Linked DNA regions of Sus scrofa. The protein of the gene in region 2 purifies or fractionates together with the protein of the main gene of each other region. This does not show direct contact. Links are inferred from orthologs where the notes say so. Each region holds a gene or a part of one and is shown on either strand. Other genes may lie near its edges.

Region 1 (4,440 bases), on a different chromosome or scaffold from region 2:
GACAAGAGTAGAAAGGAGAACCCCAAGCTCCTTACACAAAGTGGGGTTTCCTTTATCACTTCCGGAGCCTGGCTTATGGTGTGCAATTAACAGACACTGAGTATCCTGTAAAAACTGCTGCTGGACAAAGCAGGAATACCACATCTCAATTTCCGTCAGGTGGCTTGGGATGTCAGCGTTGAAGACGATCACCACCCCGTGAGAGTCCTTCATCAGAGCTGGCCAGCAAGACTCGAACCTGCGCAGCAGAAAAGGATGCGGGTGGAAGGGTAGGTGGTTCTGGTTTCTAATCGGGGACTTGAAAAATAATCTCTTAGTATGAATCACTGATGGATGACCTCTCACGGTATCATGACCCAGGCACTAAAGTCTCAAGAGCAATGTGTCAGTAATTGATCAAGCCCTAAACACATGCTATGAAGGGCGCCAGGCTCATGTTCAAGGTGTCTGGCGGGCAGGGGATTTCTGAATCACTTGAGGGAGCAAACATTCTTTAAGGGAAACGTACTTTGGGTCGCCGCCACAATCCCAGAGCTCAAATTCACAGCCGGTGCCTTTGTTGTTGCTGGTAACGTGAGGGTTCTCAAATTCCAGGATCCTAAAGATAAAAGCATGAGCGGCACCTTTCCTTAGGAAACGTCATACTTTGGGAACAGCACTGGCACCAAAGGTAGGGCTGGGTGACGGCTGCGGACTCTGTGGGACACAGGTTTGTCAGGGCTCACCTCACTCCTTGGGTTGGGTGGTATTCGGTAATGTCAGAAGATTCTGTCAGAAAGTTGGCCAATACGGTTTTCCCGCTCTGTGGAAATTAAGATAATAAATGATCTCTGTGGAAGAGGCGAATAGTGAACCATGAGCAAGTCCTCTAATGGCTGTCCTGGACCCAGTTGTGGTGGAGAAGAGGCCAGGCCACCCCAGACCACCTGGGTGGAGGGCTCTCCCCAGATGGGTGGGCACAGCCGCTCTGGGACCAGAGAGCACAGCCTTCAGTGCTGGCTCTGCTGCTGGGTGACTTTACCCACATCTATGTCCCCCGGCTGGCTTGCCCTGAAGCTCTAGATGAGAAAACAATTGTTATGTTGCTGCAGTCTTCCAAAGTAAGAAGATGTCTTAGTTTATTTAGGCATTCTCTGACTGATGGGCAGGTAGGGAGATTCCACCTGGTCACTGTTGTAAACAACTCAGGGGAACATGGGTGAGTCCTTAGATTTTGGGAAATGTAACTGCCACACTGAAAGCTATGCACATTTTAAATTTTAGTAACTTGATCTCCAAAAAAATCTGTTACCAATTTGTAGCGCCATCAATAGAATCCTAGAATACTCCTTTCCCTAAAATGCATCCCATACATCCTCGCATGGCACATCATCAGTCATCTAAACTTTTCTCATCCAAACTGCCAAGCAAATCAGTGTCATCTTTTTGTTTTGTGTTCCTGTGATTGTGAGGCTGAGCATCTTCTCATACTTACTGGTCAAGTCTATTTCTTGTGCACAGACTTTGCTAGATTATCTATTGAGCTGCTTCTCTTTTATTTACTCATTCTCAAACTTTCCTGTATGTTTGTTTTACCTATGAATCCTCGTTCTGTCATGCCTTTTTCTAATACTTTCCCCTGGCTTTAACTTTAATATTTCTTTTAAGGCTTCTTCATTTTTGTGTTGTTTTTAAGAAGACCTTCCCTGTCTCCAGATTCAAAACACATCTTTCGGAGTTCCCGTCGTGGTGCAGTGGTTAACGAATCTGACTAGGAACCATGAGGTTGCGGGTTCGGTCCCTGCCCTTGCTCAGTGGGTTAACAATCCGGCGTTGCCGTGAGCTGTAGTGTAGGTTGCAGACTCGGCTCGGATCCGCGTTTCTGTGGCTCTGGCGTAGGCCACTGGCTACAGCTCCGATTCAACCCCTAGCCTGGGAACCTCCATGTGCTTCGGGAGCAGCCCAAAGAAACAGCAAAAAGACAAAACAAACAAACAAACAAAAAAAACACATCTTTCCACATGTTCATCTACTATGGTGGTTCCTGGACAACCAGCATCAGCAAAAAATGCAAATTCTCAGGTCCCTCCCAGACCCACTGAATCATTAACTCTGGGATAGGATGGGCAAAGTGTGCTATTAACAAGACCACAAGGCAATTCTGATGCGTGCTGAAGTTGAAGAGTTATTCGTTTACTACTAACAAAATTGTTTTACACATTTATTCTTGTGTACGGTGTGAAGTACAAAGCTAGATTTAATCCCACTCCTCCCTCTCCCCGACTGCCACACACATTAAAAGCTAACTGTTCCACGACCACGTAATCGATAAGTTTTTCCTCCGTTTTTTTCTCACCCGGCAGACATATTTCATTAGGGATAGTCATGGGCGCAAAGGAGAGTCGTGAGATCTAGGTTCTGATTCCATAATGCCACTCACTACCTTGGGCCTTCAGGCCTTAGTACAACCGAGTCAAGGTCTGGGAGCCCCGAGTTCAAGGTGAAGCCAGCAGCTCACACCAGGGTGGGCGCGGTAGGACTGGGCTCCCGGCTCCTGTGGGGCTTTGGGCGCAAAACACGGCCGCTGGGGGCGACCCCGCGCTGGTCTGCCCGGCTTGCCGCCCCGCAGGCTCCGGCCTCACCTCGCAGGGCCCCACGAAGAGGATCTTGGCCTTCAGCATCGCCGTCCACCGTCTGCAGGCCCCCTGGAGCCCACCTGGGCGCTGCCCGAGTCAGAGTGGTCCTCAGGGCGGAGCTGAAGTCGCCGCGCTGGTTGGCTGCTTTCGTCCCCATGGAGACGGGAGCGGCCGCGGGGGCCGACGGGAGTGGGCGGGTTCCTACGGGGGCGGAGCTAGGCGCACCAAGGGCTCTGGTATCCTCTGCTGGCTCCCTGATGCACAACGTGAGCTTCGGATTGGAGGTGGGCGGCAAGGCAAAGGAAGAGGGTGGGAAGGAAACAAAAAATCCGGATCCATTTTTGATTCTGAGCAGTGGAGCCCGCAGAGCTCACCAATCTGGCATCACACTTTGCAGGGAGGAGGCGGAATGTGGATCCCCAATCTCCTTTACTCCGCCCTCTAACCCCAAAAGAGGTCAAACAGGCCAAACAGCAGGTGAGGTGGTGTTGGAACCAGCCTCTGACGCTTTTATCACTCTGGCATGATACTGCCCACCTTGGGAACGGAGTTATCCTATCCTTGGCCCAGTCTAGAAAAGGTCAGGGGAAAACGAGTCTCTAAATAGAGATTCACCCCTCACTGGCTTTTGGATAATCTGGGAGAAACGAAAAGGATTGTAATGCTTCGGCCTTGTTCGCTGTCAGTGCAGGTGTCTGAACGCATTGCTGTTAAATTCAGTCATTAGGGCAGCTTTAAATTACAGGGCCGGTACAGAATTTTGGGTGAGGCCTTGAAATTGTATCTGTGTGCCAAGCGTGCCAATACAAAATATGCTAGACCCCCCAGAATGCTAGCATAACGAAAATAAGTAAATAAATCCAATACCAAATCTTTGTTTGAATTGCAAAGAACTTTTTTGCAGTACAAACTGAACTGTAAGGAAGAGTCTGCCCCAACTTAAAGGTGTCGTTAATTGATAAATATCTTTTGAATGCCTGCTGTATACCAGGCACTCTTCTAGGTACTGAGGATGTGCCTGTACCTCTTGAGGCTTTCACTCCAGTGGAGTAGATGGATATTAAGTAAACAAGTTAACAACTTAGTCTCTGGTAGAGACAATTTTAGACGTTGGTAAGTGCTATGAATAAAAATAAATCACTGAAGAGGTGAGGAGTGTGAAGGAGCCAATTTTGGATGGTGTAGTGAAGGCAAGACCTTGCTGCAGAGGTGACATTAAAGGAGAAAGCTAAGGCGTTCCCAGCATGGCTTAGCGGAAATGAATCTGACTAGCATCCATAAGGACAAAGTTTCGATCCCTGTCCTCAGTCAGTGGGTTAAGGACCTGGCGTTGCTGAGCTGTGCTCACTCGCACATACCCAAAGCTAAGTGAAGAGAGGGCTCAAATTAACCATGTTAAGATCTAGGGGAAGAGCATTCCAGCAGAACAGCAGGGCAAAGATACTGAGGCGGAAATAAACTTGGCATATTCTGAAAACGGCACATAGGGCTGGTGACATGGGTGCAGGAAGAATAAGGGGATGGCAGGAAGTGCTGTTGGAGAGATTAAGTAAGACTTTGGAAGTGGATGCTAAGGGTAATTGGAAGCCTGTGCCAGGACTGTATTTGGCTATGTGTAATAGAAACTCCACCACAGCGACTTAACCAAATAAGAGATTGATTATTTTCTTACATAACAAGGAATCGAGGGATAGACATACAACAGCTGATGTAGCCTCTCTCTCCTTTTGTGTCCTGACGCCTTTGGTGAGGCTGCTCTACCTTTGTGTCGTTGCTTTCTAGGCAGAAACAAAGGCAAAGAGCAGAGGTCAAAAGATAAAGAAGT
Region 2 (3,648 bases):
GGAAGTTCCTGGGCTAGGGGTTAAATCAGAGCTGCAGCTGCTGGCCTACACCACAGCCACAGTAATGCCAGATCTGAGCTGCATCTGTGACCTATGCTGCAGCTTGTGGCAATGCCAGATCCTTAACCCAATGAGAAAGGCCAGGGATGGAACCCACATCTTCATGGACACTATGTCAGGTTCTTAACCCACTGAGCCACAACAGGAACTCCTCTTCCATAATATACATTGATCTCCTATATTTGCTTTGGTCTCCTGGTTTTTTGTTTGTTTTTATTTTTTTTCCTTACAGGTTTACGCTTCTCTTTATTCCTTTATTATTTTCACGGTATTTGGGGAAGAAAAGGAGATAGACACACGAGGTCAATCTGTTGTGTTTAACTAGAGGCTACCAATTTTGCTGATATTCAAATAGCACCATTAATCAGGAAGGAAGGAAAGATGAAAAAGTAATATTTATTGTTCGTCTACCATTTATCAGACACTGTGTTCATGAAAACTTTAAATGGTAGGATCATCTCTGTTTTTCAGATAAGGATTCTAAAACTCAGAAAAATTAAGTATCACATTAACAATCATATAACCAGTAAGGGAAGAAGAATCCGTTTTCAAACCTGGGTTTTTCTGTGCCCTAAATATGTCACAACAATCATTCAAGTCATCTTTACCAAAATGTAGCCCGATTAGACAGGAGAGGGCAATTCTCTACTCCCTGATGATCAGAACAATGCTGGTAAAACAAGCACATACCTCTTTCAATCCACTGCTCAAAATCCACCGGATCTTTAGAAGTGCTCTTTTCAATCCTCAAGGTCTGCACTGATAATGTAAATAAACAAAACAAATAAAGTGTTCATTATCTACCCGGTTTTATGTTGTTGTCCCCATAGTCCTTTTTTCCTCTAAGACTTCAGCATGGGTGATACTGCATAAAGTACTGGGATCAGGACCACCACATTATGAGAATCACTCAGCCTCTCTGTTTTTCCATAAGTCTCTATGTAAAATACAGTCTGTGTAACTGCAATCTTGCAAATATTTGCAGGCACAAAACACAAAGCTAGTATATAGCCTTTCAGAATTTGATATCATCTTTTTTTTGGCATACTGGTAGATAATAATACATCAGTGGTCTCGGTCATAAACTTTTATGGAAAAACTACTATGAGTCAGATATATTTATTTATTCACTGGACTTCAATCTTAGGATGAGGAAACAGGCCTAAAGAAATCAGGCAACTTAGAGAAGTCAGGCAAGGTGTTCAGTGATACAGAGTTAGTCAGCCAGAACTGGAACGCAAACTTTAGCTATGAGTCCAGAGCCTTTACAAGTAATGACAGAAGAGAGAATACAGTCATTTTCCTGCTGCACTGGTTTTTCGCTTACTCCTAGGCCAGCTCCTCTTGCCCCACATCCTTTCTTCCCCTTCTCTGTTCTGTGACCTGGGAGAAAGACTGCTGGGGACTGCGTCCCCTGGACTCATTTGCCCACTGCCCAGTGGCCAGATCTGGCCAACTGCAGGCACTGACTAGAAACTGGAGGGCGGGGAGAAGTGAGGTTGGGTTGTATTTTCTCCACTCCCTTCCCACTTCAGTGCTGGGTCTTTGACAGGGGTTATGTCCCTTCTGGTTACAGCTCCTAAAAGGCAGGCCCTCAGGCACAGACTCTAGCTCTCACTGAGCTCCAGCAGTACTTTTCCTTCCCTCGGCCCAGGGGAGGTAGTGGCTTACTGCTGTAGTCAGTTTCGGGTGTCTCACCAGCCCTAGTTTGTTCCCTTAACCCAGGCCATAATTTTGTAAGTAGTCCTCGCAATAACTAACGTCTCTTCATTTGAGCCATCTGGGATGTATCGTGTTTCGTGCCATGATTCTAACACACTTTATCCTTAAATAAACATAAGACAAGATTAGGATGATGTTCCAGTGGGAGAGACTTCTCCCAAATCTCTCAGAAAACGCCATTATTAATAAAAGAATCAAAATTACCAAATGCAAATAATCAGGGTTATCAGATTTTCAGAAAGAATGTGACAGAGAACCCTGGCCAAAAGAATCAGGAATAATGACATCAAGAAACCGAGTGTTCTGGCAAGCTGGCTTCTTATGTTCATAACAGGGTCTTTTGCCAAAGGCTTTCACATAGCAAATTGCATGGAAATTATTACGTGCTTTGGAAGGGTTTCAAATTTGCCGTTTCAGAGAGGCTAACTGTGCTCCAGGCAGTCAACCCACACTCTCCACCCATTGACCCCAGCAATAAAACTGGATTCCATGGTATAAAAAAAAATTAGTCTTTTTGCCAAAAGTTTACATATGTGCCTTCTGCCTATGGAAAAACTGAAAGGTGATGAAAATTAATGAAATGAAATGAAAACATGATATGCTTACCAAAGTAACTCTGGATTACAAGCCTTTCAATCCTTACGTGTTTGTGAAAACAAATAATGAACTCTTGGGGAAACATCCCTGTGGTGGTCCAAAATGTTTCTGGATTTCTATTGTTGATTTTAAAGAAAAAAAAGAAAAGTGGAGCCAAATGTTTAGAAATGTTTAATCATAAAATTCTAGTGAATAAATATTTTAAAAAATAAACCAAAAACCCCAAAACAACCATTGGATTTTGCAACCCCTAACTGTTCATTCTGCCACTAATGTCTCTCCAACTTTAGTCATTCTTTACTACTACCAGATTATATATATATTTTTTAAACCCAGAATTGATGTCACTCTTGTCTAAAAGCCTGTAGTGACCCCTTATTGCCTATAAACCTAAACTCCTTAGTATGGCATTTTACGACCCCAGACAATCTGGTCCCATCATTAAAGTATATCATCCCCCAACATGATATCATCTCCCATTAGTCACATTGGACCAAGATTAAAATTCTGTAAACACATCATGCAGGCTCATGCTTCTGTGTCTTAGTTTATGAGGTTCTCTTGCCCTAAAAAGCCCTTCTTCCTTTGCAAAAGTTTATTCACTTTTTGGTCCCATCTCTCCAACTCCAACAAATCAGAATAACTTGATTCCTCCTTTGCATTCACCTCACACACAGCATCCATTTTTACGATGGCACTTTTTTCTTGTGTTTTTATTGCTCCAGCTACATACTCCTTAAGTCCAGTCACTTTGTTCCTCATTTTTTTTTTTTTTTTTTTTTGTCTTTTTAGGGCTGCACTGGCAGCAAATGGAAGTTCCCAGGCTAGGGGTGGAATCGGAGCTATAGCTGCCGGCCTACACCACAGCCACAGCAACATCAAATCTAAACTGCGTCTGTGACCTACACCACAACTCACAGCAACACCAGATCCTTAACCTACTGAGTGAGGCCAGGGACCGAACCTGTGACCTCATGGATACTAGTCAGTTTTGTTTCTGCTGCACCGTGATGGGAACTCCTCTGTTCCTCATCTTTATATTGCCAGTAACTATCACAATGGCTGACCCATAGTAGATACACAATAGATGTTTGTTGAAACAAATTAATACATGCATTCAATGTTAGTCTTGCACTATGCACAATTTTACATATATATGTAGTATTGACTACAGAAATAATATTTCTATTTTAATTATACCATTATATAAGTACATAATTATATAATTTTAAAAAGAAAAGGTTTTCTTTTTTTTCTTTCTTTTTTTTT

The links. Proteins that work in one complex are often made in the same cells at the same time.
Region 1: the proteins of HSPB11 (region 2) and IFT22 purify together in Homo sapiens (affinity purification with mass spectrometry; 3 studies listed by BioGRID and IntAct, with this or other methods). This does not show direct contact. The link is inferred for Sus scrofa from reciprocal best matches to the Homo sapiens genes IFT25 and IFT22.

What each region holds. Positions count from the first base shown.
Region 1 is NC_010445.4:8,978,826-8,983,265, forward strand, and holds the start of IFT22 (intraflagellar transport protein 22 homolog), read right to left. Parts: upstream 2,811-4,440; 5' UTR 2,661-2,810; coding exon 2,622-2,660; intron 803-2,621; coding exon 726-802; intron 599-725; coding exon 509-598; intron 239-508; coding exon 36-238; intron 1-35. UniProt on the Homo sapiens protein: Small GTPase-like component of the intraflagellar transport (IFT) complex B.
Region 2 is NC_010448.4:158,355,711-158,359,358, reverse strand, and holds part of HSPB11 (intraflagellar transport protein 25 homolog), read right to left. Parts: intron 2,496-3,648; coding exon 2,389-2,495; intron 820-2,388; coding exon 751-819; intron 1-750. UniProt on the Homo sapiens protein: Component of the IFT complex B required for sonic hedgehog/SHH signaling.